Caenorhabditis elegans: one gene and its partners. The protein of the gene in region 3 interacts with the protein of the main gene of each other region in a pairwise test. Each region holds a gene or a part of one and is shown on either strand. Other genes may lie near its edges.

Evidence for each region.
Region 1: the proteins of dmd-6 (region 3) and tbx-39 interact in a two-hybrid assay, tested with the Caenorhabditis elegans proteins (one large-scale study listed by BioGRID).
Region 2: the proteins of dmd-6 (region 3) and nhr-88 interact in a two-hybrid assay, tested with the Caenorhabditis elegans proteins (one large-scale study listed by BioGRID).
Region 4: the proteins of dmd-6 (region 3) and hinf-1 interact in a two-hybrid assay, tested with the Caenorhabditis elegans proteins (one large-scale study listed by BioGRID).

Annotation. Positions count from the first base shown.
Region 1 is NC_003282.8:15,321,260-15,327,295, reverse strand, and holds tbx-39 (Putative T-box protein 39), read right to left. Parts: upstream 3,404-6,036; coding exon 3,207-3,403; intron 3,155-3,206; coding exon 2,968-3,154; intron 2,914-2,967; coding exon 2,107-2,913; downstream 1-2,106. Other genes in the region: tbx-40 (Putative T-box protein 40), read left to right, coding at 1-357; Y73F8A.15 (DUF38 domain-containing protein), read right to left, coding at 5,116-5,318, 5,510-5,675.
Region 2 is NC_003280.10:2,975,462-2,982,605, reverse strand, and holds the start of nhr-88 (Nuclear hormone receptor E75), read right to left. Parts: upstream 4,191-7,144; 5' UTR 4,182-4,190; coding exon 4,117-4,181; intron 3,702-4,116; coding exon 3,604-3,701; intron 3,338-3,603; exon of another isoform or gene 3,263-3,337; intron 3,218-3,262; exon of another isoform or gene 3,164-3,217; intron 3,032-3,163; coding exon 2,577-3,031; intron 1,851-2,576; coding exon of another isoform or gene 1,761-1,850; exon of another isoform or gene 1,676-1,760; intron 1-1,675.
Region 3 is NC_003282.8:14,613,640-14,623,848, forward strand, and holds the start of dmd-6 (DM domain-containing protein), read left to right. Parts: upstream 1-2,963; 5' UTR 2,964-3,071; intron 3,072-3,424; exon of another isoform or gene 3,425-3,445; intron 3,446-3,530; exon of another isoform or gene 3,531-3,551; intron 3,552-3,716; exon of another isoform or gene 3,717-3,737; intron 3,738-4,367; exon of another isoform or gene 4,368-4,388; intron 4,389-4,494; exon of another isoform or gene 4,495-4,515; intron 4,516-4,608; exon of another isoform or gene 4,609-4,632; intron 4,633-4,736; exon of another isoform or gene 4,737-4,757; intron 4,758-5,494; exon of another isoform or gene 5,495-5,515; intron 5,516-5,558; exon of another isoform or gene 5,559-5,579; intron 5,580-5,772; exon of another isoform or gene 5,773-5,793; intron 5,794-5,811; 5' UTR 5,812-5,815; coding exon 5,816-6,034; intron 6,035-6,088; coding exon 6,089-6,218; intron 6,219-6,542; exon of another isoform or gene 6,543-6,563; intron 6,564-7,884; exon of another isoform or gene 7,885-7,941; intron 7,942-8,377; coding exon 8,378-8,451; intron 8,452-8,869; coding exon 8,870-9,103; intron 9,104-9,222; coding exon 9,223-9,978; 3' UTR 9,979-10,209.
Region 4 is NC_003279.8:14,789,519-14,797,093, forward strand, and holds hinf-1 (C2H2-type domain-containing protein), read left to right. Parts: upstream 1-1,521; 5' UTR 1,522-1,539; coding exon 1,540-1,945; intron 1,946-2,402; coding exon 2,403-2,849; intron 2,850-2,964; exon of another isoform or gene 2,965-3,053; intron 3,054-3,201; coding exon 3,202-3,623; intron 3,624-3,907; coding exon 3,908-4,024; intron 4,025-4,110; coding exon 4,111-4,344; 3' UTR 4,345-4,888; downstream 4,889-7,575. Other genes in the region: uev-1 (Ubiquitin-conjugating enzyme E2 variant 1), read left to right, coding at 753-756, 815-960, 1,010-1,279; mrps-27 (Ig-like domain-containing protein), read left to right, coding at 5,381-5,632, 5,856-5,996, 6,044-6,295, 6,346-6,702, 7,257-7,529.

The DNA of each region.
Region 1 (6,036 bases), 710 kb from region 3:
CATGCGTATCCAACAGTCAATACTCCACCAATTTATGCTCAGCAATTTCCAGCTCCATTTGATGAAAAGCAAAATCAATTCTATCCAAAAACTGATGAAAATCTGGCGCCAAACTGTGCTCAAGATGCTTCAAGTTTGCCAAACTTTGCGATGAATCAAAAGGCTTCTTTTGCAAATCAATATCCATATCATCCATATTACCATCAATATTCTCAGCTTGATCATGGATCTCCATATCAGTACATGAATAACTCCATCAATTCCGACTCCTCTTTCCAGTCATCATTTTCTACTGAAAATTCGTATTTTGATGACAATGGAAACCCAATTCATTATCCCTATTATCCTTACAAATAATTTGTATCTTCATTTCTGTATGAGTACCTCCTTATCATGTTTTCCAGTGAGTTTCACGGTTTTTTTTTCCATATTTCCCCTCTAAAAACCAACTAACACTTTCCTGTGAATACATTAGACTTTTTTTTTCAATTTTTACTTATACTGTTTTATGTGGTTCTCAATTTCTGATCTATTTTCTTTATTTTCAATTTTTACGTATCTGATTTCCATTTCTATTAATAAAGTTGAACACTTTTATTTTGCAAAAATTGCTAAAAATGCTAAAATTAATATTTACGCACTCTGTTTTTACCAGGAAAAAAATTCGACAAAATAATCGACAGTAAGTTTTCATTTTGACCAATTACTTAAAACTCGAAACAGTAGTGTTCTCCAAATTTACGTTCATTTTCAGAATATCGAGTATTTTCAATTTCAAAATTATGTTCCCCACAACAAAACGTACTTTTTGAAATTATTTGTAGAAATATACAAACATTCTCGAGCAGAAATTGTTTCCTCAATTATTTTTTCATGGTTTCAAAAAAATAAATAATTCTACGAAAGGAAGATTGAGGTTTTCTAATTCTAAAAGTTGGTTGACTCTCTGGCGGAACATTTGTCTGCTTCAAGTTGTTGATATATTTTCATATAGTTTGAGTACAATTTGATATTTACTCACTGGAAAATTGACTCATAAAGAACTGAGAATGAAACAGTAAAATAAGTCAGAAAAAAATTACAAAATAAAACAAAATGAAAGAAGGCAAGAAACTCACAGGAAACTTTGAATTTTTATTATTATTTTTTATTATTTTTATTATCAACAGTAAGTTTTTATGCAATCCAATTATTTACAACTTGATACAGTTTTTTTTTAATACAATTTTTTAAATAACCAGAATAGTTTCAATTTCAAAAAATAATATTCTCCACAAAAAAAATAATTTAGCAGCAAAAAAAGTTTATATTTTTCATTGTTCAAAAAATAAACTTTGAAAGTGAGGGAATTTAATGTTCAAGTACCAAAAAATAAATAAATCAACGACAGGAAAAGTCGTCTGCTTTACATAGTTGGTATATTTCCTGTTTTTTTTTGTAAAGTTACGTATCTGCGGCCCACAATATAATCGAAAAATTTGAAAAATTTCAAATTTTAATATCCGAAATTCGGAATAATTTGACACGCAAAAATGATGTGCTTATGTTTCTATTCCACACTTGATTCATCAAAATTGAAACATTAAAATAAAAAAAAAAGCAAACTTTTTTGCTAAGCAGCTCCATAATAGGCTTTCCATCCGGGCGAGGTGTGTCGGGGGCGCCCTTCGCCCGCCTCTTTCCCGCGCCCCCCTCACGCCCGCCCTGACACCCGGTATGCAATTTGTCGTCGCGGTGTTTGCAGAAATGAAACAAATTGGACGCGCATTTAGAAAACTTTGCCATCACGTTATAATATTAAATTGTAATTTTGGCAATTATTTTTATTCAATAGTGGATTAATAGTGCAATGTTTAATTTTGAAAATGAATAATGTATGAATTTCTGAGCCCTTTTATCATAACGGTAAAGCAAGATTAGTGTTAAAAGTTTATTAAAAGAAAATTGATTTACAAATTATTGCGACTAGAAACAGAAAATTAGGTGAGAAATAATTTACAGAATTAAACAAAATGAGCTAAAGTCAATATGGACAGAGAAGTCAAAACAATCACAGGAAAATTTGAAAAAAATAGGAAACAAGGGTTAGTAATGAAGAAGTGACAATTAATTGCTAGAATAATATGGATAGTGGATAGGATTTCCATTTTCATCGAAATATGAATTTTCAGCAGAAAATGATGACTGGAAAGAGGAATCAGAATAAATAGAGTTATTCATGGAATAGTTGAGATGTGGAAACTGTTGGCTGGATTGAAAATATGGATAATAATAGGGATAGGAACCATATGGATATTGATTTGGAAATTGAGAGACTGGGTAATCTGGAGCATTCTGATGAATATTTTCCTTTTGATTGATCGCAAATTGTGGTACACTTGAAAGATACTGAACATTTTTTGCAACCCTATTTTGTTTAGTTTTCGGATCGAATTGATTGTGGATTTCATCAAATAGAGCTGTGAATTGCTGAACATAAATTGGTGGAGTATTGACTGTTGGATACGCATGTGGATATTGATTTTGATAGGAAGTTGATGGGAACTGGTGAATAGAGGAACTGATCTCATTTTGAAGCCTTCCAGAATTCGTGGACTCATTATAATTTTCTGATTGTGAGGCAACTTGAAGGATATCCGAAACAGCAATTTCTGTTTCATTTTTTGATCGTTTTGATGTTCGCTCTTCACTCGAATCAGTATTCTTTCTCTTGTTTCCCCCATCCAATCTATTTCCATATGTTGAGTTCTTGTGAAATTTAGATTTCCAATTTCCGATCGATTCTTGATTGTATACTGTGACTGGGAAAAATTGGGCTACTTCCATTCTCATAGAATGATTTGCAGATTCAACATTCGTGATATTTTTGACAGTGAGGACTGGAACATACTTGTGCATTGTTTCCACGAAAAACTGAAATAAAAATTAATTATAATATTATTTAGTGAATTAAAAATTCAAACTAACCACATTATCCTTGTCCATGAATTTTTTGTGATTCGTAATCCTGACTGTATCAAATTTAATAGTTTCCTTCATCAATTCCTTTCCAAGTTTTGTTCCATCTGGATGTAAGAAATATTTGATTTCTTGTTCTTTTTTCGTTGCATGACGGACTTTTGAAGGTCCCCATTTTCCATTTCGGTATCCATATCTGAAATTAAGATTTGTCTTTAATGGTGACTTTGAAAATCATTAAAAAATACCTGATATTGTCATATTTTTCAATTGAAAGAAGTACAACATATCTCGATTTCTCTTCCAATCCAGTAATATTGAAGTTGAGTTCGGGAAAAATTAGTTTCGGCCCTTTATTATTCACAATCATTTCCATATTTGGATACCATTGTTTCCATCGGTCTTCTTCAGCCATTGTAACATTGAATTGAGCTTGTGAAAACATTATTGAATCTGAATATTGAAAAAAAATCAACATATATTAATAGGAAGTATGAAAGAAAAAAAACGGTATACTAAACAAAATATTATAATGAATGATCCTCTCTATCCCTTTAATGTTTTAGACCCCACTTAGTGGGCGGAGCCTGAGCACTGGGTTGAGTCAACCAATTATCGATTGATTGTATTCACTTGCTCTCTTAGAATTGCTCAACAAAAACTGTTTGAAACTGGAAATCGTACTTTATATAGTGATGTCCTTTTAATCACTATATTGAAACAGTAACTTTTTGAGTGCTGCCGCATTTGATAAAAACGCCCGAGTTACTAATTTAAAATAAAAATACTAAAACCCGATCCAAAGCAAATTATTTAAGGATATCCACATTTAGACTTTTATTTTGTAGTGTCAATTTTCTGCGTGCTTCTCTATTCCAGATTACCTTTTCACATATTAATATTTCATGTCAAAGTTGTCTATTCCAAAACATTACGTTACAGTTCCACTGGTGACCTATATTCTTCCCAATTGTCATTCACATAATGACAATAGGTGCAAGGTATCCCCCACCTTAACATCCACCACTTTACAACTCTACTTCCTTCTCCTTGACATATCATTCCTTTTCGATCGATTTCCGGACACACACCTGACAATCCAAATGGTTGTAAACTTTATGTACTGGGAAAATATATTTAGTCTTTTGATAGATAATAAGCAGAAAAGTGAGAAAGTGTATACTTTTACAAAATTGAAAATATAGAAAATGATAGGTTTACATTTCATTGCAAACGTTATTTTAATAACAAAATTTCAGACAGAAAAGGATTTATTTGAAAAGTTTCTATTTTGGATGAAAATTCTACTCCGCTCTGCAAAACACTATGTCAGTATTAGTAAATATGTATTAGACATCACATTCTTAAAGAGAGAATTAATAAGCTGTAATTAAAAAAAAAATAAAAATTGCTGTTTCAACATTGTGATACATTTGCTGCATTAATGAGAGTAAGACAATTTGTTTGGTGGCCTTATTGATGTTAGTGAAATATGCCACATTTATTCTCGAAAATATGAATTAATTAATTAAAATCCCAACAGAAGTTACTTTTTTCTTGAATATTTTTCTATCGGTAAGAATATAGCTTCGGTTTACAATTTACTGAGATATATATGTACATAACTAAACTATTGAGCTGACAAATTCAAAAATATCCAAAAACAATCAAGGAATACAGGTTGAACGGATCATTGAGCATATTATGCATGTTGACATTAAAATTAAAATTGTAATACAAAAGTATTTACGGAGTGTTTTAAATTACTATAGTGAAACACGCAATATGTAGATAAACAATTTTGATAAAGTTAAAGACAGAATTTTTTTGAGTAGCCATTCTATTTAATTCCATGTGCATATAATTGTATTTTTTTCCGAAAAATTAACTAATGCTGAAATTAAAATTATGTTTCAATGTCCTGATAACTTTGTCACCATGTTTTGCAATTATTATGTTTTTCTCCCAACAATATTTTCTGATTGGAACTGGAATCAAAAAATCATTTTTAAAATTCATATTAATATCAACAACAAGTTATGCGTTTAGATTTACCAACGTTTAGAAACAGTAAAAATTATCAGAACTTTACAAAAATTCTTTTCGAGCAACTTCTTTATTCTAATCAAGTACTACTTCATTCATCACAATGGAATATTAATTGATAACAATTCCAGATTTAAGTCTCCATTTTCCTTCTTCTCCTTCACGCAATAGATAGAAATCAGCAATATTGGTTCTTGGCCCAACTACATGTGAAACATTGAACTTGATTTCATTTTTTCCTTGAGTAAAAATCGATGATTTGAGGATCAATGGCTCGGGATTCGGCTTGGTAAGGTAGCTTTCCACGAATAGAGCTGAAAAAATTAAACAATCATTAGAGTATTTAGTAGTTGAACATTCTAAAATTCACTATGAAAAACTACTTGGTAACCTGGAATTTTCAACAAAAAAATTGCTCCTAATGTTTCACAAACTGCTTATATGACCTCACTTTATGGAATAACCATTCCCTTTCCGACGTAGAATATAGTCATATAAAACTCACCTTTGGTAAAAATCCTCCCACGAACATTAAAATTGAAAGTATCCATAAAACAGTCAGCAAATGCACTTTTATTCGATGATTGAGCATCATTCTCCATATTTTGAATGAAATCTCGCACGATTTCCATGGAACCATCATCCACTGGAGCACTGGCAAAGAGGCCCATTTTGGCGGACAAGGAGAGTGTTGTTTTATGAAAACTGAAGTGAATTGATTGAGTAAAGTGTCGTGGTCAGAAGCCACGTGATTGGAAGTTCCAGAGCATCACGGGTTTACGTGAAAATTTAAAAAAAATTAACGCGAATTTTTGTTCATAAACAACTTTTTTCCTTTTCCTTCTGAAGCGGACAATTTTTCAATTAAAATTTCAAAATTATTATTTAATTTCACAGAGGCCGTGCTTAATGGTTATAATAAAAACGTTGGCCTTTTGTCACAAAGCTGAAACATACTATTTTTAATATTAACAGTACAGTATCTTTTTTATGTCATTAACTATTATTATCATTACCTATATATAAAAAAAT
Region 2 (7,144 bases), on a different chromosome or scaffold from region 3:
CTATAGGACCCCCCCTAATTTGAAGGTTTGAGGAACTTCCGAAAATTTTTTTGAAAAACTGCTAATGCCATTCGTTTTTAAATTGAAAAAAACCTATATACATTTTTTTCCAGAAGTTTATCTCAAAAACTGAGGTCGCGCTGGAAAAAACGTCAAAATCCAGTGTGAAACTTCTATAGGACCCCCCGTTTTTTTTCACGATTTTTACTAAAATCAACAGATTTTGGAATTTTTGACAAAGCTCAAATCAAGTTTGAGTTAGAAATGAGTTCAGATAAGCAGTTTTGACTTTAAAAAATTAATACGAAATGTTCTCGTGGGATCTCCAGACTGGTTCTGATTCTTCCGATCTTTGATGTTCAAGTCTGTTTCAAGCTTCCTGGTGCTCTCGGTAATGCCAAAACTTGATAAACTCTCTTTAACAAGTTCCTACTAAAATTCCTAGCACACACACCATAAACATTTTTACGCCATCCCCAAGAAACCAGTCAGAAACAGCGTATTAACAAGTTGCAGTTATTTTTGATCAACAACAGAACATTCATATACTAAAATCAAGAAAGGATCAATAGTTAATCGGGTTTCCTTGTGTGCGGATGTTCTCAAACAGTCTGTCCTCCATTGATCTGACCAAACTTTTCAGCTGGTTGTCCGGAATAGACTTCCAAGCGTCGAGAATTCCTTGCTTCAACGATGCAACTGTTGGGTAAGTCTTGTTCTGAGCATACACGATACGGACAAGAATCCCCCACAAATTTTCGATTGGATTGAGATCAGGACTTCGAGCTGGCCAATCAAGAAGGTTGATCTTCTTGAGCTTGAAATAGTCGCGGGTTGAGTTGCTCACATGGATTGTCGCATTATCCTGCTGAAATCTAAAGTCTTTTCTGGAGTAGTGACGAAGATATTTGGAGAGCTCCAGTTCCAAGACGTTCTGATAGTCAGTGCTGTTCATCTTGCTACTGACGAACTGTATCTCAAGCTTCTTCTTCTCCGTGAACGCTCCCCAAACCATCACCGTTCCTCCTCCAAAATTACGTCTCGAAAAAACCATTGGTTCCTTGCGCAAATCGCGCCAATAGTAGCGGCAACCGTCAGGCCCATCGAGATTGAATTTCTTTTCATCGGAGAAGACAACCTAAAACAATGATCCTAATTATTCACTCTTGCTTTTTTAAATTCTCACTTTACTCCAATTCGTTCCCATATTGTTCTTAGCAAATTCCAATCGCTTGAGTTTATGGTCTGCAGAGAGTAACGGAGCAGGGCGAAGTTTCTGACGAACGATTACACCAGATCGTTTGATGACATTGAGGATGGTCCTTTTTGAAGCAGACAATTGAAGCTCATTGCGAATATCTCTTGCCGTCTTACAGGAGTTGGAGGCAGCACGAATCACATTTCGTTCGTCACGCACGGAGAGAGCTTTGCGACGAGGAGCTCTTTTAGATGTACCGTAGCTCACCGGATCCTTCAGATACACGCGAATACAGTGTCGAGAACGGGAAATTTTCCTACTCATTTCATGCAGGGACACATTGAGCAATTTCATAACATCCAGCTGAGCGCGTTCAGTGTCCGAAAGGGCAGATCCTCGAGGCATTGCAAGTTAGACTGCTTTCGAAGTAAGCTTTCCAGCCTCTATATGTGTGCCACAACACATGCCACAATTCCACATTTAATAATTCACGCAAAAAATAGTAAATAACATCTGTGAGGGACAATTTAACTTGAAATATTGGTCCCATGGAACCTTGTAATCAAAGAAAAACGATTTGATTCCTGATAAGCCTTCCATTGTTTCCTGCTGCATATTTTGCCAAATCAGCTTGACTACACAGTCGAAACATCTAAAGTGCGTGCTAGGAATTTTAGTAGGAACTTGTTAAAGAGAGTTTATCAAGTTTTGGCATTACCGAGAGCACCAGGAAGCTTGAAACAGACTTGAACATCAAAGATCGGAAGAATCAGAACCAGTCTGGAGATCCCACGAGAACATTTCGTATTAATTTTTTAAAGTCAAAACTGCTTATCTGAACTCATTTCTAACTCAAACTTGATTTGAGCTTTGTCAAAAATTCCAAAATCTGTTGATTTTAGTAAAAATCGTGAAAAAAAACGGGGGGTCCTATAGAAGTTTCACACTGGATTTTGACGTTTTTTCCAGCGCGACCTCAGTTTTTGAGATAAACTTCTGGAAAAAAATGTATATAGGTTTTTTTCAATTTAAAAACGAATGGCATTAGCAGTTTTTCAAAAAAATTTTCGGAAGTTCCTCAAACCTTCAAATTAGGGGGGGGTCCTATAGAACTTTCCCACACTGTATTTCAAATTTCTAGAAGCAGCCGACATTTGCCTGGTTTCTAGAAACAGCCGACATTCGCCGGGCTTCTAGAAGCAGCCGACATTTGCTTAGTTTCTAGAAGCAGCCGACATTTGCTTAGTTTCTAGAAGCAGCCGACATTTGCCGGGCTTCTAGAAGCAGCCGACATTTCCCTTGTTTCTAGAAACGGCCGACACATCACGGGTTACTGGAAGCTCCCTTCAAGTTTACCTAGGAGCAGCCGACAACTCACCGGAAAGCTCTCCTGATTTCTGACATATTGACTATGGAACAAAGTGGACACATCGAAATCCGGGTCATTCTTCATCATCATTGATATTCCAATAGGCATTGTGATATGATTATTCCCGCAAGTCGCCTGATCTTCAACATCCAATAAAAATGACAAAATAACATCTTCATTATTGGAAACTGGAGAATCGCAGCCATTCGGTGAGGGTAGGGATGCATCGATGCTTCCACTATTCGTGTCGGACTTCATCTTCTTCTTCCGTGGATTCTTCTGCTTGCCGATGACGTCACGATCCGGTCGAATGGCTTCTGGCTCCATGCCAACTGTCAGGCAACGCTGGAACCGGCAGTAACGGCATGCGTTGCGTTGATCCTTGTCGATGGCGCATTTTTGGGTGAATCGGCAGGTGTAGGTCTGTTGGGATCGGATTGTTCGGCGGAAGAAGCCCTTACAACCTGAAATTTTAGAAATTTGAGCGATATCTCAAAAATTGAATCTTGAAAAAGTTGTGTAAACTATTGAAATATTCCAGTCGAAAACATGAATAAGTCATAAATTGCATGATTTTTGATAGCTCAAAGTTTAAGCTCAGGCTTAGGCTTAGGCTTAAGCCTAAGCTTAGGCTCAGGCGTAGGCTTAGGATTTGGCTCAAAGCTAGGATTAGGCTTAGGCTTAGGCTTAGTCTTATGCTTAGGCTTAGGCTTAGGCTTAGGCTCAGGCCTAGGTTTAAGCTTAGGCTTCGGCTTAGGATTAGGCCTAGGGTCATAAACTCAAGACCTTAGGCTTAGGCTTAGGCTCAAAGCTAGGATCAAGCTTAGGCTTAGGCTTAGTCTTATGCTTAGGCTTAGGCTTAGGCTTAGGCTCAGGCCTAGGATTAAGCTTAGGCTTATGCTTAGGTTTAGGCTTAGGGCCATAAACTTCAGACCATAGGGTTAGGCTTAGGCTTAGGATTAGGCTTGGGCTTGGGCTTTGGCTTAGCACCTTAGGCTTAGGCTTAGGCCTAAATTGGAAAAAAAGAAAAACTCACCATAACAAGCCATTACTCCATAGTGTTTTCCAGCCGACCTGTCTCCACACACCATACACTGCCCATCACCATTATCCATTCCTGGCATGACCTGTTGACTGAAATTTTTTTAAAGTTTTTGGGGGTTTTGTATCTCAATTGTAATCTGTGAGTACTGTAGCTAGGTACCATACGGGTACTGTAGTTGGATTAGGGGTACTGTAACTTGACACCATATGGATACTGTAACTCTACTTAGTTCCTTTATGATTACTGTAGCTAGGAACCATTTGTGTACTGTAGCTATGAACTATATGGGTGCTGTACATCAGCCCATATGGTTACTGTAACTACTGTTGCTATGTACAACATGTGTATTGTAGCTATGATCTATTTGGGTACTGTAGCTAGACCCCATAGGGGTACCAAAACTAGACTATAGGTACTGTAGTTAGGTACCATATGGGCACTGTAGTTGATTCAGGGGTACTGTAGGTGATAGACTATGAATACCGTAGGGTACTGTACACTCACCCATCATCCTCGTCTGTTCCAGAACCATGATGTCCATAGGTATAAACCGTCGAAGGAGCAAACATATAGAGATGCTGCAAAAAAAAGAAGATGAGATTTTATATTATATTTTTAGTCGGAGCAATAAGTAAAAAATGAGAAAATAAAAATCTTTGATGCTTTGAAAGGAAGGGAGAAGCGTGACGGATATGAGGGGGAGGGGATAGAAAAAAGAGCAAAATGAGCAGAATATTTTTGAGTAAAACTTGAGAAAAAAAGAGGGAAAACAGCTCTAAAGCCTAAGCCTAAGCCTAAGTCTAAGTCTAAGCTCAAGAATAAGCCTAAGCCTGAGCTTAACCCTAAGCCTAAGCCTCAGCCAAAGCCGATTACTAAACTTTGGTCTATGCCTAAGCCTAAACCTAAGCCTAAGGCTAAATATAAACCTAAGCCTAAGCCTAAGCCTAAGCCTAACCCTAAGCCTGAAACTAGGCCTAGGCCTAAGACAACCACGCAAAGAAAACCAACCGGACAAAACTGAAAAGTAAGTGTCCAATTTTGGCCTGACCCCCAATTTCTCAACAAAATTTCCCGCCAAATCAATTTTTAGGAACCAGTTTTCTCTTTTAAGATGATGTTTTCTGTTTCTTTTCGTTTTTTTTTTTGAGAGAGAGTAACCGGGGAAAGTTTTAGGGGGCAGAAAGGGAGAAAGATTGGAAAAGAAAATTGGGGAAATTTCGTTCGACCGGTTTTCTGAATTTTCTGGTAGAAGTTGGATGGGGGAATTTTGTGGGAATTTTTCGGGGGAAATTGAAAATTTTCAGATATTTTAGAGTAATTTTGAAAATTGTCGGACTGTAGGAATTTTTCCGAATTTTTAGAGCTTTTTCCAAAAAAATTTTCAGACTTTTTTTTGAAATTTTTTAAATGGAAATTGACACCAAAAATTGCTCTTCGGCTAAAGACACTTAGATATCCTAATTTTTAAAGGTACATAAACTATCACTTTTAAAATTGCGGAAAAAAAAGTTTTTTTTCGAAAAAAAACAACTATCTGAACAAACAAAAAGTTCTAGATTTTCCGTCGATCTCAAATTACCAACGTTTTTTTTCTTTTTTTCTCGTCATGAATTCTCAAACTAGAAACAACTTTGTTCTGTTTTGAAAAAAATTAGAAAATTGGTAATTTTTAATCTCAAAAATTTGAAAAAAAAATCGGGAAAAATTAAAAAATAATTTTTTAAATAGATTTTTACAGGAAATGTATGGTTTTTTTTGAAAATTATAGATATTTTAGAAACATATAAAGTTTAAAGAGAAATCAAAAAAAACCTCCCAAAAATTAGGAAAGTTTTTGAAAAAAAAACAATTTTTGGCAATTTTTTTTCAAAAAATCGAACAATTCCAAAACTTCCCCAAAATCAAAATTTTCCAAATTTTCCAAATTCCATACTAAAATCATGCTCAGGGATCCATAAAATGTTGCATTTTCTTTTCCTGTCTCCCCCAAAAAAATGTGGAGGTGAGCTCTCTTTTTCTCCGGAGAGCCAGCGGAGAGGAAATTTTTTTCTCTCCATTTTTTTCTAGCGTCTCGTGCGTGTTTGTGTGTATGTATGTGTATGTTTAGAACGGAAACATGCATTACATTTCGAAACCTTCTCCCTTTTAGTGCTCGAGCCCCCAGAAGCTGAGAAGGGGGGCAAAAAGGTGGAAAGAATTTGTGGAGAAAAGGAGAAAAAGGAGAAAAATGTGAAGGGAAAAAAAGAAGAAAAAAACGGAGAAAAGTAACAAACTTGTGTGGTGGTGGTGGCAGAAAATGAGGGCGACACGACGAGGACAGCGTGGCGTGTGGAGGGAGAAAAGTGGGCGGAGCCTCTGGAAGGTTAAGCTCATTTTGTAGAGAAAATTACAATGAGAAGATGACCTAATTTTTAAGAAAATCTGATAAAAAATGAAAGTTCCAAGTTTGAGAAAAAAAATTTCGAAAATTCGGAAGAAAAATAATAAATTTTTTAAAACCAATTTTCTTGGTTTTTTTTGTCTCATTTTGTAAAATTTTTCCAAAATAACGTTTAATCATTAAAAAAATATTCTAAAAATTTGATGTAAAAGTTTTCAAAATGAACCGACCCTGTGCGGTGTCAATCTTGTAAATTTTTTTGGAATAAAACAGGAAAGCTTCCAGGATTTCTAGTGAACAAAAATTATGCAAAAAATATTTTTAAAAATTAAGTTTTTGAGCTTTTTTTAATTTTTTGAAAAACTTTTTTTCTTAATTTTTAATTTGTTTTCCATATTCTTTTTTTTTTTAATTCCACAAAAAAATTTCCCAGTTTCTGAGTACCCGTGTACCTACTTTGACATCAAAATAGCTAAAAAAAACAACTAACTAAAAATGAATTTACTAAAAGTAGTATGACGCGAAGAAGTTGAAATGTTCATGTTTCCCCCCAACTTTTATCCTTTGCCAAATGACGCGAAAACAGGTATTTTAGTTGTTTTACAGGGTCATTTTATACGGTCACGTGTCGGCAAAAAAAGAAAAAAGTTAACTGATATATTCGTCAAAATACTTTTGTTTTTCTTGAAAATTAAAATTTTTTCTGTTGAAAAAATTTCAATTTGAAACTTTCAACAAAAAAAAATATTAGTATTGCCAAAACGAAACAGAAAGTTCGCAACCGTTTTTATGGCAATTTTGTGTTTGTTTGAATCGATTTTGGTAACAAAAAATTGATAAAAACGCAGGTGATGAGATAAGCTTATCAGTTGGGAAGACACTATGTGGAAAATTAGAAGGAGTGATGACGTCATAGGAGTTGAGAATTGTTTTTGTATGTTGAAAATAAATATGAATTGCAATTTTTGATAATTTTGTCAGTTTACAACTTTTCGATAGCTCTAACTGTTCGGGATATACGGTTGACCTTTTTTCTAGGGTGCGCCAACTTTAAAGCTTGATATCTCCGCAACGGCAAGAGTTACCAAAAAATTTTAAATTAAAAAAATGTATAAAATTTAATTTTAAATAATTTGTCAGTTGATAACTTTT
Region 3 (10,209 bases):
TGTCTTGAACTCTGACGGAGATCAAAATATTAGAAAATTGCAAAAGTGCGTAATAAATCTGCCGATTCAAGGAAAAAGTGTGTGCTTGCGATATTGCAAGCACACAACACAGCCACACAGGTGCAGATTTTATATCGAGTTCAAAAGATTATAGTTGCAAATGGAGCTAGCTTTTGGTAATGCGAAGAATAACTTGAAACTAGAATGTATGTTTTGCTAGAGAAGTTCCAAAAAAACACATCATTAGAAAAATCAAAATGCCAAAAACTTTTGTCACTTTCCTGAAACAGTAAATAGTTTCAAAATTTTTTTTTTCGAATAGAAAGCTAAACTGACGCCATTTTGGCGCAGGCGGTTGTAAGCTGCACATCTGTTATTTTGCTCTCAAGTTTGATCTCGCATTCACCATTTTTAATTGAATCCAAAAATCCAAAAATCAAAATATGAAGAGGGGGCGGGGCCGTAGTCGTGATATGTTAAAAGTCCTACGTATAATTAATTCGCAGAACTAGAAGTGTAGGCTCCAATATACTTTTAAAAGCCGCTTGCCCACCCTCCAAAGAACATTTACAATGTTGTCTCCTCTGGCTGACTAACAAAAATACAGTTTGGAGAAAGATCAAACTCCGCCCCCATCCCGCCGCCATATCATCCCTTAGTATGTATGGGTCTGTCAATGACAACGAGTATTTATAAAATTGAGAATTCAAAAGATCACGTTTTCATCCATTATATGTTTGTCGTCTGCTGATCTTCGATTTATCGCATTATCAAACGTTGATCATTTCACCATTTCATTCAACGATTTCCAGTTGGGGGAAACCCTTAGGCTCCGCCCACAAATTGATGGCACATGTCGGTTCTCTTTATCTCTTCATTCGGTAGCATAAGAGGCGAGGATTTCGAACTTTTAATCTCGTAACTTCAGATACTGATGTTTCAGTTATATGTGTTTGAAGTTCAGTTTTCTCGATAATTTCCACCTGCTTTACTTATTTCCGCACTATGATTGGAGACTACAATGTTCTGTGAATTCTTAGAAAACTTGATATTTGATTTTAAAGTGTTTTCTGCCGACGTATAACTCAATACTGAAAAATTTTGCAACAAAATTTTTTTTGTGATAATTTTGAAACAGTAATTTTTTTTCAATTTTTTTTTTCAAATTCTATAAAAATATTTCTCGCAGTTGTTTTTCATTCTATTTCGTTCCAATCAAAAAATTCTGCGATCTCTTGTTCAACATCGTTTTCTCTGATCATAATCTCAACACAAGCAGCTTTTCCTCCATGTATTTTTCGAGATGTGACGCCTTTACAGGGAGGGCGTTTGATCTCTACAAAAGCGTGAGCTACTTAGTGGGGCCAGAAAAGTGCAATTTACTTGCATAAGAGTAACAACAAAAATCATAGCGACCCCCCGCCTGCCCGGCTGTATCTCGATCACGGATCTTTTGAGTAACATCAGTTCCAATTGAATATCCGTAATTTCCGTAGTATCCGTAGTATCCGTAGGCCGTAGTTTGTAGCAGTAACAATTTTCTGGATAGAAGTTTAAGAAGTAAATCTTAAAACTTGAAATCAAGAAATAAAAATTAATAGTTTAACTTTCGAAGTTTGAATGTCAAAATTTAAAAATTTTTAAAATTTGGAAATTTTTTTCACTGTTTCAAAAATTCCATGAAAATTCCTCGCCGTTTCAAGTGTTAGTAGTAGTTCTGAAAGATCCCAATGAACATTCTGTGACTCGATATCTCCACCTCCAGCAGCAGAATCCGTTCAAATGTGGGATTTCTGCATTTACCGTGTTTTTCTTATCTAACTCGGCGGATCTAACCTTTATTCACACGTACATTCAAGAATTCAGTATTTGTAGTAAGTGTAGTTGGTGAGAAATTAACTGAAAAATTAACGAAATCCGATCTTATTTTAAGTTTTCCAAAAAAAAAAATTACTGTTTTAAAATTTATTATAAGGAAACGGTGATTTTTTCGACAATTTTTCAATCCAATTTATTTCCAATTTATTTAACTGTTCTGAATCTTAATATAAACCATGTCGCTGGAAAATATAACAATTTTATGTGCAGTTGCAATAACTAAAATTTCCAAAAAAATTTGTTTTCCGCATTTTTCTAAGTTCAAGCTTGATTTCTCATTAATGGTCGCATCTTGTTCCTGTTACAGCCAGAAACCTAAACTTTTTTCACAATTTGTTACCTGTTTGGAATGTTAATATAAATTTCGCTAAAATATATATTTAAATCTGTTGAACTGCCGTTCCCGCCAAAATTGACCAATTTTAACTTTTCGGAAAAAAAATACTGTTTCAAAATTGCATGTTCCTAATTTCAACTTTCATTTCTCAATAACTTCGGTTCTTTTTTTTCCTGTTACAGTCAAGAAACTTCCCAAAAAATCCCTCAAGATATTCATCTCCCGTGCTTCGGCCTCTTTCTACCTTGAAACTCCTACATACGCCCTTAATACGAACTGTGTCTAGTTTAATACACTCGTTATTCCCTTCCATTGCATTTCCTCATCTTCACTTCATTCTGGATCGTTTTTGATTGGGATCTGAAGCTGCGTGGAAACTGGCTTTTTCGATGAAAACGTGATCGAATTTCTGCATTAAGAATCACTGATTAAAATTTTCAATTTACAGGTTCTAATTGTACTCTTTTTTTTTTGGAAATTTTTTTCACTGTTTCAAAAATGTTTCTTCTAAACTTTTCAACAAAACCTCACTGATTAAACTTCGTCCAACATTTTCCGACAGTTTTCTCTCCATATATACTTTTAATCTTTCGGTTCCCTCTGCGCACGTGAAAAATAATCGTATTAAACAGATTTCGTATGCAAAACTTTTCCATAATTTTTTCAAAAATCACAATTTTGGCTTCTCTCTTTCCAATTTACTATACAATTTCTCCGCAAATTTTTAAAGAAATTCCTCTTTTTTCAGACTTCATCTCACTTTCATTGCCAAATCATCAAAAAGAAGCCATTTTTGGTTGGAGCTCGTGTGGCTCAACAATCAAAAAAAAATATTATTTTGTGGAGCTGGTCATTGGTAAGTTCGTGTTTTTTTTGTTGCAAACATATTTAGCCACTTGAGGTGTCTAGGAAAACCGGTGAAGATGTTTGTATAATGTTAGTCGGAAGCACAAAATTAGTGCAAATGACGTGGCGGAGGAAACGGAAAAAATTCAAAATTTTGGACTTTGGAAAAAATTAACTGTTTCAAAACATTTTGAAATTTACACAGAGAGCATTGTTTTTTTTTATAAACAAAACTTAAGTTTGAAAATTGCAATAATTTTCGTCGCTTCTTGTAGCTTGGCTGACAACCACAAAGTTTTGGTTTCAAAAATATTTTACTGTTTCAAAAAGTTCTGAAATTCACAAATAAATGTTTGTTTTTGCTATGATATCGCCCTGTATTGGTCCCAATAAACTAAACTATTCTGATTAAAAAATTTTCAACTGTTTCAAAATTTTGAAAAAAGTTCCATTTTTTTTAAGTGTTTGCTCTATTCTTTCTTTAAAAGTTTCACCTTATTGTACATTTTGTAGACACATTTTGTAGACTACAAAGGCTACGTGTTTGCCAGTTCTTTCACTTTTTGCCGTGTCACTTGTTAGTCATTTCTTACAAGAAATGGGAACTTTTCTGTTTCACAATGTCTTTTTCTTTTAAAAAAGTTTGAGCTTCAGCTGAAAAGAAGCTGAAAATTTTTGTTCCTGCTTCAAAGAGAAAAACACTGAAACTTTGAGCTTTTTGTTGTCAATTTACTCGGCGATCTTTAAAGAGACGAAGAAAAAGAAGAAATGTTTTGTCTGGCGGTTGTGTTCTCTGTTTTTGCGGGTCCCCCAACTCCAGTTTTTTGATCACTTATTTTTCCTATTTTTTTGAATCATTTTTCTTGACTTTTTCTAGATTTTTCTTCTCTGGAAAAGTCACAGAATGATGATGATAAAGTTTGTGATCAAAAACACACTTTTCGACCTCTTCAGTCATTCAACCCGGTTAGTGGGAGGAGGTGGAGAGTAGGTCAAATATTTGCACACCCCGCCTAAACTTTGTACCGCCCAATTTTATGTTCATTTTCTGTGTGCCGTGTGTAGTAGAGGAGGAGCAACAAAGAACCGAACTTACGGAACTTTGTACCTATGGAATTGATGTGTTTTGTATTAATTTCTATATTTTTTAAATTCTGTCGAAAGCACTTTGAACTTTGTGAACTTTTCATATTTTTATTTTGAAACAGTAATTTTTTTCTTCAAAATTTGAAATTTCAAAAATTCGAATTCAAAATTTTAATAAGATTTTAAAAATCTACATAAATATTTTTTGTTGAAAAATGATGAACCTACTTCGTTGGTAATAGCAAAAAAAAAAGAGTCCACAACATTTTTAATGCATATTTTGAAACAGTGAAAAATTTCACTGTTTTTAAATTTTTACGTATACATAACCGCAACATAATTTTTGATTTGTATTTCTTATTAGGAGTAAATTGTTATTTTTAGTCAGTAATCAAATTCATATGCCAAATTTCACAAAATTTACAGTGAAAGTGTTATTAAATTTCAAAATTTGAAACCGTAATTTTCCTGTCGTTCTACAAGTAGTATGCCTCTACTTTGAAATAATCAAACATTTTCCGTGAAACAGTAACTTTTTTTCGATTTTTAAAATTTTTGCAAATCCTTTACTGATGTGAGTTTTTTTATTACTAATAGAATCACATAAATATTACAGTTCCAGTTTTAAAACTCTTAAACATTTTCTGTGAAACAGTAAATTTTCATTAAGAATTCCAATTTTCAAAAATCATCTACAGTAACCTAGTTATCTCCATCTAAACGCTTATTTCCTTGTCTGAAAATGTCTTAATTTACTTCCTCTAGATATTTTCTACTTATTTTGCACAACCATCCTCTCATTTCCGTGTTCTGCTTCTTCTGTTTTGTGCTCCGTTCGCCTGGTCATCTATTTCTCTCTGTGTGTGTTCTAGATCACAATTTGTGTTGTGTTCTCCAGTGTCTCTGCTGCTTCGCGTTAGCATGTTTTTCACCCAATTTTTGAGCTTTTCGAGCCCAGACTAGTAGACCCCGAGTGATCTTCGAACACCCCCCTGTGTGTGTGTGTTCCCCGCATATGTGATTATTGAACCACTAGGGACTGGAAAAATAGGAACGAGGAAGCTGGAACACACACCCATCGAGTGTGTTTTTTTTCGAATGGGAAAAAAAAAAGAAATTACATATTTTTTTCTCTTACTCTCTTGTAGGTCCCTTTGTAACTTCCGCTTTGACCCTTGGAGCTCCTCCTCCATTTTTGTCACTATTCCTGATCAGTCTTCATGATTTTAGGTTAGCTAAGGTTAAGCTCTTGTGGATTACTGTAGTACTCTTGGAATATATATGTCTTGAAGAAAAATTACTGTTTCATTATTTTCACAAGTTTATACAGTGATCATGTTGCATCAATTTGCTGTGTGCATCTAGCAGAATTACTGTGAATCATTAAATTCAGTAAGACAATTAGATTTTTTTCGAAATTTCGGGAGCTTCATTATGTAAATCATAACTAGCCAACGAATATTCAAGTTTTGAAACACTAATTTTTAAAATTTATTGAAATTTTTTAATATTTCAATTTTCTGTTTCTAGAGGTCTGTTTTTTACACATATTTTAAACTTAAAAAATTAAAAGAATTCCTGTTTCACGCTGTTCGTAAGAAGTCTTACTTTGAAAAATCTTTTGCTCTCCTTCCGTACATATCTCAAATTCCCAATTCTTTCAGTAAAATGAGCCCACACATCATCGCTACTGTAACCATCGACGACGAGCATCATCATCATCATCACCGCAGCAACGAGAACTACTCTCCATCATCCCAAGACATGGACTCCCCAAAGCCAAAGGGACGCATCCTTTACTGCCGAAAGTGCGAAGGACACGGCGAGAAGGTGATCCTCAAGAATCACTCACCACAGTGCCCATATATTCTGTGCAATTGCAAATCGGTAAGTTCTAGAAGAGTCTGGGAGCTATTTTGTTTTCAAATTTTCAAATTTTAGTGCGAGAAGCTAAACTACAAGCGCCTGAAGTCGTTCAACAAGAGAAATAAGGAAAAGATCGAGTTGGCAGCAGCTCTGAATGCAAAGAGACATGCTCCAGAATCCGGATCCAGTGTTGACGATGAAGAAGGTGAGCTTTTCCCTGATCTCTGTCTCCTACTCCTTCACTATCAAATTAGAATCCATATAGTACCCATAGATCTCTGATTTCTCAGTTGTGTTTTGGCGCTTACTCCCTAGTTCCCCCACAAATATGCATAACTTCCGTCTAGATTTCCACAAAAATGTACTCGGTTGTTTTGTTCGTTTCTCGTACGCGATCGAAAATCTCTGTATGACTAACAACGTAGACAGCAGAACCACTGAAAGATCAAGTGTTATTTCAAAACTATTTTGGAGTTTGCGATGATGTTTCATATTTGTTAGATATTTTGGAAAGGACATGATCTTTTGATTTCAAGAGTTTACTACAAAATTCGATCCCATGACATTCACTTTTCAAAAACAAAGCAACTATTTGCCCAACTTTTGCAAAAAAGTAGACTGTAGGTACCGGTACTAGACTAATCTTTTGATAGTGTTATCAGTTTTTTTCCTTTATACCATTACAAAAATCACCTGATTCTTGCGCTTTCTGATCGTTCCAGTGTAATTCGTCGCACTTTTGGAACGCCGCAATAACAAAATTCTATATTCAGAACAAGTGTTCTTAGATCGCTGAAAATTCTATTTCCTAGTTCCATCCCTCGAATCTACGAATCTTGTTTTCGTCGTCTTGATATATACAAAAATGTGTGTCCTGATCGACTCGAACCCTCCACTGACCTTTTTGTTTTGCTCATTCGCCATCTACTTGTTTTTAGTACATTCCAGCAACTCTTTCTCCTCCTCCCCCCCCCCCTTTCATCCCTTCTCTTCGGTCGCTTCAGGACCTTGCACTCTTTCTCATTGCGTCTGCACACTCTCATCACATCTGTACTATTTCTCGTTTGCCCTGTCTGATTTTCGCAACTACTAGTCTACTCGGTTCTCATCGTCCTCTCGTTTTTCCACGTTTTTTCACATTTTAAGGCACACACACACACACAGAGAGGATGACGAAAAGGCGCTCACATTTTCAGTACACAATCACTTTTCTGTGTATGTGTTTGTGTGCCCAGCCTCCCGAGGACGACTGTCTCTTCTGTTATTCGCGAATATTTCAGGCATTTCGTCTAGTCTTCATTTTCATTTTTATGTATTATAATTTCGGTTCTGTCTTCAAAAAATTGAGCTAAACTCCTTGGAACGTCTTCCGTTTTGAGTTTTAGCTCCCTGGTTTGATCCCTTATGCAGCCCGTCTACGATCTTTTTGCATTTGATTATACGTAATTATTTTCTCTCTCTCTCTCCTTTTCATTTTTCACAATTTTCCCACTCAATTTATCTGTCTACAAAGTTATGCTTTGGTGTCTCAATGACTCACGACGGTTGGCACATATCTCGTGTCAGTTCAAAATAATAGCAATTATCATTTGAATATCCGCTGACCGATGGTTAGATTGAGCACGTATGCGCGTATGCTGGCCAAACAGAAATAGAAATTCCAAGTATGTGTCTGGAGCCGCCGGCTCGACTGTAAACAGATTTCCGTCACTTTTCTTGTTCTCAATTTTCGATGTCTACATATAAATGAATAGAGATTAGAAATCATCAAAATGGCGTTGACGTAGGCAAATGGTGAATCACATTAGCTCACATTACGTATGATCCCTGTGTTTTGGTGTGCTGCTCTTTCATATACATTTTTTTTCATTTCTCTCTCTCTCTCTCTCTCTCTCTCTCTCTCTCTCTCTCTCTCTCTCTCTTTTCTAATAGGACTGAATCAGTGGGAGTAAGTGTACACAGACTATGAAAAAATAATGTAAAAAAGGTGAGCAACACACCAGTCGCACCAAATAGTGAAGGATTTAAAGATCACCGAATTTCTATTCGCGTCTCTTTCTTCTTCCTCTCTCTCTCTCAACATGTTTCGTCTCCCATTTCACTCCGTCGTAAGCCGGCGGCATTATCCAGTGCGAGACTCCTTTCCCAAGTACGGAACCCTTGTGTCCCTCTACTGATCTTTATCCGGCACCTAGTACCTGTCCTATATACCCACACTCGGGGCCCCCCGAGAGAAAGAAAGATGCATTCGATTTTCTATTGTTTCTCATTCTGCAGTGAAACGCGAAACACTTTCCATTTTCTTCTTTTCCAACACATACACACACACAATATGTTCCAATTCAATATTTCGAAACTTTTCAGGCTTCTCCCGCCGTTCCTCATTCTGCTCAAAAACTTCAACACCAGACATGGACTCGGAGACGAGAACCTCATCGGTAAGTATTCTCCACCTAAACTAGACTCTTGTTTTGCACTTCATATGTGTAAGGCATCTGTCAATAGCTAGCTGGCTTTCTTTCTCTGAAATCGCGGTTTCTTAGGAAAATATTCTAGTCTGCTCATAGCTCTCACGCGCACCTTGACCTAACAGCTGCATGAGAAGAAGACGTCGACGACAGAACCAGTGAGAGAGGGAAAATTCTGATCTTATGGTTTTTAATCTGCTCCTGCTCCAAAGCATGCGCTCTCTCTCTCTCTCTCTCTCTTCGCACGCTGCTCTGGCTCCCTCCTCACGCAGCGGCGCTCACATTTTGTCAGAATAGGCGGAGCAGGTGCGCGAGCCCTGTTATTACTTTATCTTCTCATACTCTTGAGCTCATTTCCAATCTCATGCTCAACTATATTCCATTTCAGACGACTCCTATCACTCGTTCCAACTCCACAATGCCCACAGCTAATGGTCTTGAAGGACGAAGTGGCTCACTTGGGCACATGACAGTCATGTCCTATGATATTTGGAAGGCCAAGTGTGCATCAGAGAGAAAGAGGCTTGAAGAGGAGAGACTCACAAAGCCTGAACTATTCACCCGATCTCCATCACCTGGCCCAATGAGGAAGCGTGCTCACACATTTGTTGCTCCGCCAACGGTTAGTTGTCTAGTTTTCTAGAGAGTTCTAGAGAGTGATCTATGGTTCTGGCGAGCCGTCGACATCACCCTTTTCTAGCCTAATTGTGATTCATCATTTCTCATACATGTATTTTTCAGATTCACACGCCAGACATCCCGGTTGTCGCCGCAAAGAAGATGTCACTTGATGAGAAGGTGAAGGGCAAATTCATCACACTTCCGACGATTCCTGCGATGAGAATTTTTGTGAACGAGGAGGATGAAGATGTGAAGCCAGTGACACAAATGCAATTGGCTCAGCCGATCGCTTTAACTCCATCACCACAAATGTCACTGGCCTCCACACTTGCTCAGATTCCAATGTCTACTCCGGTTTGTATGCCTTCAATGATCACGCCGACGTCTTTCCTGGACATTCCATCGACCTCGAGTCCAATGCTGCCATTCCAAATCTCCACGACGACTTCTCCGATGCTTCAGCGTCAGACACCAATCTTGACACCACAGATGTCTCCATTCAAACCAGTCGGAGTCGCTACTCCACAGCCACCTGCGCTAAGCAACTTGTCTGCTGGACAGGAGCTATCCTCATTCATCCTTCATTCCGTCGTACTTCAAGCTCAACAAGCACAACAGAAGACTGCACAACAGTTGATCCCGACTTCTATGCCATCAGAGTTGGAATCAACACTTTCTCTTCTCCGCTTGCAACAATCATCGTTGGGTGATTTGATCAAGCTCAGTGGAATCCAACTTCCAACTCTTCCAACCACTCAGCCAATGCTCACACCTCAAATGCCAACACTTCCGATGATGCAGAAAGCGTTGCCGACTGTTTTGCCAGGATCCTTCCAGCCCTTCCTTCAACCCACACTCTTTACCAACCCGGTCTAAGTCAAAGAATCTTCTAGAATTCCACCAAAAAAACCCCCGATCATAATACGATTCGCTCTACTCCGTTCATCTCTTTACTCATCGTCTAGTCCTTTCACACCCCAATTCCTGCACCTACGGTGTTTTTTTGCCATCTTTTCATACTTTTTACTATCTCTTCGCTTTTACCCATTTCCAGTTCCTCTCTCTCTCTTTTGCTCTCAGGCTATATGTGATATTCACATTTTTCTC
Region 4 (7,575 bases), on a different chromosome or scaffold from region 3:
CGTACTCGCACTGATTAGGCGCACGGATTTATTCGGATGGGTCTCGCAGCGAGAAAAATGTTATGGTAACACTTTGTGGCGGGACCAATCCGAATCAAACCGTGTACCTTTAAGTACGCGTTCAGAAAATTGCGAAATTACTATATTTTTGCAACTTTTGTTTCATTTTTCCGTAAAAGGTTTGAGTAAATGTTTATCAAATTATCGACTTTTAGACTATTTTTAGTGTTTTAGCAGAAAATCTCTGAAAATTCGACAAAATTTGATTAGAATTACATAACAAAAAACAATTTTAAAAAGCTAGGACATTGATTTGCACGGGAACTCAACAAAAAATCAGAAAATTGATTTTCTTTTAGCAAAATTGAAAAAAAAAAAACAATTTTTAGCAGCTGTGCCTTTAATACAAAACAAAGATTGAAACGATGATAACCAATATTCAATTTTTATAATTTTTTTTCGGTCGCAAACAAAATTGTCATCATTTTCTTGTGATTTTATTGAACCCAAGTGTTTCATTTCAATGTTCACAGATCTTGTCCGAGAGGACTACACAGTTAGCCTTAGCAAACGCGCTCCACTGGGCACTCACACAAATCGAATGAGCGCGCGGCAAACGAGCGTCAAGCCGTGCTAGCAGGCGGATTGTCCGACGAAATTATCGATTTTTTCTTGATTTTTCGGATTTTAAAGCAAATTTCTTTGTTAATAATTTCAATTTTCAGCGTTCCAGCAACTTGGGCACTTTCAAAATGGGTAAGTTCGCTTTCTAAATTCAAAAATGATTATTTTCGCATATTTTTCTCTTTTCCAGTCGATGTACCACGCAATTTCCGTCTGCTGGAAGAACTTGAAGAAGGACAAAAAGGCAAGGGAGATGGAAACATTTCGTGGGGTTTGGAGGATGACAGCGATATGACTCTCACCAGATGGACTGCTTCCATCATTGGTCCACCGAGAGTGAGTCAGCGGAATTAATCATTTTTTATTATTAGTTTTTTGCTTTCAGACTCCATACGAATCGCGAATCTACAATCTGCAAATCCAGTGCGGCGGGAATTATCCGCGAGAGCCACCAACCGTTCGTTTCACCACCAAAGTTCACATGGTGGGAGTCAATCAGAGCAATGGAGTGATTGATAAGCGAAATTTGACAACACTTCGCAACTGGAGCAATAGTTACATGATCAAGACCGTGCTCGAGGATATCCGCAAGAACATGATGATGGCCAAAGAGAATCTGAAATTGCAGCAACCGGCAGAGGGCGCCATGTTCTAAATTCTTTTATTGATTTTTTGTATACCCAGTTTACTCTCCCCGGTAGTAGCTTTCCCCTCGAACTTTTCCCCCACACTTTATTTATAATTATTATATTATTCGCCATTCAATTTCCATGTAAAATTTTAAAATTTCAATGTGATTTTTTTATTTTTTGTTCTTCATTTTTGCGTAATTTTAACGCATTTCATACCTACCTGCTCAATTACTGTCTCTTTCGAGATTTCAATCATGTTTTTCAGATTCAATTATCCTAAAGTATGTCATATGCCGATTTGAAACCAGTCAAATTCGATTTCGACATTCAATATCAACCATCCAGCCAGCATCCTCCGTACTATAATTCGTTTGGAATTGCCGAGCCGGATCCCCGTCATAATTTGTACGCACCAACAGCACCACCACATCATCATCATCACCACCATCAGCACCAGCCACAACAACATTTACATTATATGATTGATAGTCAAGACTCAGATAGTCAGGATTCTGTGGACTCTTTCCGTACACCTGCACCGATCTCGTCTGCAACAAGGTTTTCTACTCACACTCCTCGAGCTTCCAGAGCGTCGAGTAACGATTCTGAGAGCGGAGAGCTTAGCGAAGAAGTTATGAATCATTGGTTGCCAATGACTTGGTGTGAACGATCGTCGGATGATCCACAAGGTAATTAATATTCAGATTTTCGACAATGAGTACTAACGGTTCGGAAGATTTTGAACGTATATGCCCAATAGGGGTACGCATTTTAATTTCAATAAATTCTGAATTTTCAGTAGAAGATACATCGTTTAAAATTATTTAAATGTGGCTTATATATTTCGGCGGTGCTTCGAATTTATTTATAACATTCAAAAATATTGAATTTCAGAGGTTTTACACTGCTTTTAAAGTCAAGAAATTTTTTGAAAATCGGGCTACAAAATGATGTGTAAAACCTCTGAAATTCAATATTTTTTGAATTTCTAAAATGGATTCGAAGTATTGCCAAAATATAAATATAAGCCACATTGAAATCAATTTCAACGATATATTTTCACATGCTGAACCCATGGTCGCGACGAGGCTCAATCTGATCCATCACGCCAACTTTTGTTTAAAACTAAACAATTTAATTTTTCAGTTTTCACATTCGTCTGCCTATGGGGTCAATGTGTGTCTAGCTCGTCGAGCAAGGACGAGTTCGTTGATCATTTATTCGGCCACGTGTCAGTAATCGAGGAAGGAGTTCAAAATGGGAACCATATGAATACTGTTCAGTGCAAAGTTCGCGGGTGCAACAAGCATCTCGATTCGATATTCCAACTCCACCGACACGTCTCAATGCACGTATTCCAAGCAGATTGTCAGCAAAAAGGATCAGAAGCACTGATTGAAAAGGAAGATTATATTGGAATAGAGAGTTGTGGTTTTGAGCCATGTACAAATATTAATTATGAAGGAATGCTGCTGAATTGTCAATGGGAGGATTGTGGAATGCCGTTTAACTCATTAACCGAACTGTTTGATCATGTCGGACATCACATTGATGGTGTTGGCGATGTTGATAGAATTCAACAGAATTTTTCGAGTGAGTAAGGATTTCTGGACAGTGACAATTAAATTTCCTGAAGAAATTTGTTTTCACTTTAAAAAACTGAAATTTTCATCGAATTTTTTGTTTAACTGGACAACTTTCAATGCCGGAATTTATTTCTTACTTAATTATCGCCCTGATTGCAGATTTTGGTCTGTTATTTCACGATTTTTTGTTGATTACGGTGATTTGTATACTAATTGACTGAAAAAGAATTTTCATCAACGAAAAATCGTGAAATACGACCTAAATTTGCAATTGAGGATGATAATTAAATAGCATCTAATTTTCCGCTCAAGATTATTCCAACAAAAAATTTCCTTTTAAATTCTAATATTCTACACAGATGGCGACAAAAAAGTGGTGTTCCCGTGTAAATGGACCGCCTGCACACAAGTTGCCGATTCAAAAGCCAATCTCCGACGTCACGCTCGTCACCACAGCGGTGAGAAGGTGCTCGCGTGCCCATTCTGTGCTCGATTCTTCTCCCGACGCGACAAGCTCTACGATCATTGTCTCCGACGAACAATTCTGATGAAGAACCCGGAAATGGAAGATCCGTATCTATGCAAACTGTGTCAAAAGCGATTTGGAACTGAAAAAGCGTTATGTATGCATGTTACACGGCATTTAGTCAGTCTTACGTGCCCACTATGCTCACTTGGATTGGGTTGCCGAGCAGAACTTCATAGGCATTTAATGACAAAGCATTCAAGACGATCCAAAGATTTCAAATGTGATACTTGCAGCAAATTGTTCTTCACAGAGGTAAGAAAAATATTTTTGTCGAATTTTTAGGAAAAATTGTAAATGAATATCAATTTATCAAGCTTCAGGCAATTTTAGATTTTAGTTCAAAAAAATGTCTTATGGGCTTTAAAATTGCCCAAATCTACCGAATTTCGTAATGAGACATTTTGAAAATTTCTCAAATTTCTACAACAAAGCTCATTTTCTGCTAAAATCAAAGTTTTTGCCAACTTCTCGGTGTCGCAGCCTTTCGAACATACTTTTTATTACAAAATATTTTTAAAAAATTTCAAAATTTTCAGAGTGAGCTCAACCGTCACGCTGTGTACCATTCTGACGTCATGTACAGTTGCAAGCATTGTCCGGAGAAGTTTAAGTGGAAGAAACAGCTCATGAAGCATATGAAAGAACATGATGAGGTAACCGGTGTTTTTTTTTCAGAAAATCGATATAAGAAAACTCGTGGATTTATTTTATTCTAATCGTTTAATCATCCGATTTTCAGAATTTCAATCCATCCCCATATACATGCCATTTGTGTGACCGAACATATACTACTGGATTTGCATTGGGACGCCATTTAACCCGTCAACATCGTCTCCAGATACCCTATGGATTCAGTCGTTTTACTTACAAAAAGTGTGCCGATGGACTTATGCGACTTCAGACGAAAAAGTTGTTTAGAGGAGAGTCTGGAGAGGATCAAGCCCATCACCACCATCAACATGTTCCATATTAAATGATTATTAAATATGTTAAATTGCCCTCACATAATTTATCCACCTTTATGTTAAGGAAGAAGGGGGATTTCGCTCAAAAATACCACAGAAGCAACTATTTCTGAATTTCAGCTCACTTTTTTGTGGTTTAAAGCGAATTCCCCTATTATCCACACCTCTCATTTTAATTATTCTCTTTCAGTAATATTCTGATCTCTACCCCTCTCAATCGCATGCTTTCTTTTTTTTTCCACCAATTCTTACCAAATAATCGCCTTTTTTGTTCTATTTATTATGCTTCTATCTATTCGATCTCTCGCTCTATCCATTCTTTCCTTATTACTACACCCCTCTCACCAAGTTGTCTTACAATCAATCGATCGATGCCCCAATTCACTTTAAACACGTATGCCACGTGTCTTCTCCCACAAACACATTTGATATATACTTGTACTGTTTGCAAAATTTTCAATGTTCTAATTTATAATTTAATAATTATTTCCTTTTAACTTTGGATTTTTTTTTTCAATTATCTAATCTGAAATAAATATCTACACGTATTGTTGGACAATCAATTTGTCTCTAAATGCGGTATGAAACCAATTCATTATTTTCCAAAAAAAAAAAAAAACTATTAAAATAGGCGATTACAAAAGGAAATTTATTTAAATTCTGGAGAATTGAAAATTTTATGACTACTGAAAAACTATTTACTGATTTTCCGAAAAAGTCCAATTTTATTTTTGATGCAATTTTCTATATTTTTCTTAAAAACTGATTGACATTCTTTGTAAATGAAAATTAAAAAAAAAAACTGAATTTCTCGATTTTCAACAAAAAAACGACAAAATATGTAACTTTTAAGAGTTAAATTTCAATTTCTCTGAAACAATGTCAGAATGTTTTTTCTTTCTAAAAACGGTGAAAAATTATCGAATTCGAGAACTTAACTTGATTTCGAACTTTAAAAATTCAAAACATACCGATAATTGCCGGATTGTTGAAAATTTAAATTGCTAATTGTAAGACCCCAATAAAATAATATTTCATCTTCAGATGCTCTCTAAAAACCTTCTTCGAACTTTTATAACTCGCCGAAATTTCCAAAAATCCATTCGACAGCCCGTTCTCTCCTCAAGTTTTTCACTGGAAAAAGAGTGGTCGGATCGCCACGTGGCTCTTGGTAAACTCGGATTGGGTGGAGACTATGAATGGATCAGTGCTGTACAGAAGAAGTTTATTGGTGGTGGATATGCAAGTGCAGTTGATGTTGATGCAGCTGTATGTGTTGCTGAGCAGAAAGATCAAGTAATAATCAGTTTATTAAATTAAAGGAGAGTACCTAAATCTGAGAAATATTAATATTTTTAAATGACCCCCAATTTTCCCCTCATTCCTAATAATTTTGAATTTTTTCACTAAGATATTGAGGATCAAGGGAGAAGGGTTGGGGGTAATTCAAAAATAAATCTCAGAAATCGGTACTCCACCTTTAAATAAGCTTTTGTATGGATAATAATCAATTTTTCAGGTAGATGACGTCATCGAACTACTGTATAAGCTTCGGCATAGTGTGAAAGCAGCAGAAAAGTTGGAATCAAGTGAATATGCAATTGTTCGACTGCTTCTCAAATACCAACCGGAGACTATTATCACGTTGGCTAATGACCCGGTAAGGATAGTCATAGGAGATCACTATAAAATCGAAAAGTAATACAGATCAACTATGGCGTATTTCTGAATCAACATCTTGCCTGCATTGTCATTGATCATTTTCTGAAGACGTCAAATATTCAAGCGGCCGCTCGTATTGTTACATGGATGATTCAACAAGAAGAACTTGATAATGAGCTTTTGAATATTCTTGGATTATATGTTTGTGCAAAATGGGTTGAATTACCTGTTGAGCAACAGACGCTTGATCTCGGAGGTGCAGATGATGAGGAAGAGGATATTAATGATGATGATATTGTAGGAAAATAATATTTCTATTATTATTATTTAAATGTCATCAATTTCAGAGAACATTCAAATTCCCATATCTCAAAAATGACAGCTTTGATGAACACTTTGATCTTTCAAATCCTCATCATTTAATCGGAAAGTCTCTTCAATGGCTGTCCCGGGACACGAAATTTATCGATTCTCAACTGAAATCCAGTTTAAATGCTCTTGGAGCAGTGCTCTTTGAAAAACTCGCAGAAGCCAATTCGACGATTTCCACGGCGATTCCGTGTGTTAAATCAATTGTGGCTGGGAAATTGGCTGGGAAAGAGGAAGAAGCCGGTGTGAAAAACATTTTGGAGTCTATCGGAGAGGTTGAAGAGGCAAAGGAGAAACTCAGTGATATTATTTTGGAACATTTGAAGAAAATTCAGGTATGATTGAGAATATTTTAAATTTCAAATTTTCAATTGAGAAAATGTAATAATTTTAAAAAAATAGATTTTTGTTCCGGTTTTCAGAAAAAAGTTTAAAACGTGATATTTCTTCGATTTATCCAATTTTTCAGTGCTTCCTATAAAAATTGGAATAAAACGTAGTAAAATGTAAAACATAATACTTGAAAAAATGTCGCTAATTAATTTTTTTCCGAAAAATTCGTTACACGGTGAGTTCAAAAAAGTTAGTTTCCTGCCGCTTGACAAGTCAAATTTCAAATTTTAACTAATTTTACGTCATTTCAACATAATTTTTTTATAAAAGTTTTCAAGAAGTTTCATTATGAAATTCGGAGTTTTCAACAAAAAAAAATTGGGTCTAATAAAGCAATAAAGAACATTCGACTACACCACCTTTAAAAAGAGACATACCGAGAATGCAGATTTATCAACACACCGTTGATTTCAATTATTCACACACACTTTTAATAAATCTTAATCCAAAATTCCGTTTTTTCTGGATATTTTAAAACTTTAAACAATTTTTTCAGGTCAGCGAAGAAGATTCTCTCTGCGCCGTGCAAACGAAGCTCTTCGGGGAATGGAATGAACGTCGTCAGGCTTTGGCGAAATCTCAAGCTCAAAAAGTGTTGCTCCGATTACGTCAAGATGAGATTCGTGGAGAGCTGAAACAGTTGGACGAGCAAGAAGAACAAATGAGCTTTTTCAAGAATCGATTAATCTGGGAGAAACGGGCCGCCGAAAATACACAAATCGATGAAGAATCTAAACAGAGACATAAGAAGAAAGAATCTACTGTTTAAATATGCAATTTTTGTGAAAAATTATGAATTTCAGAGTGTTTTAGTA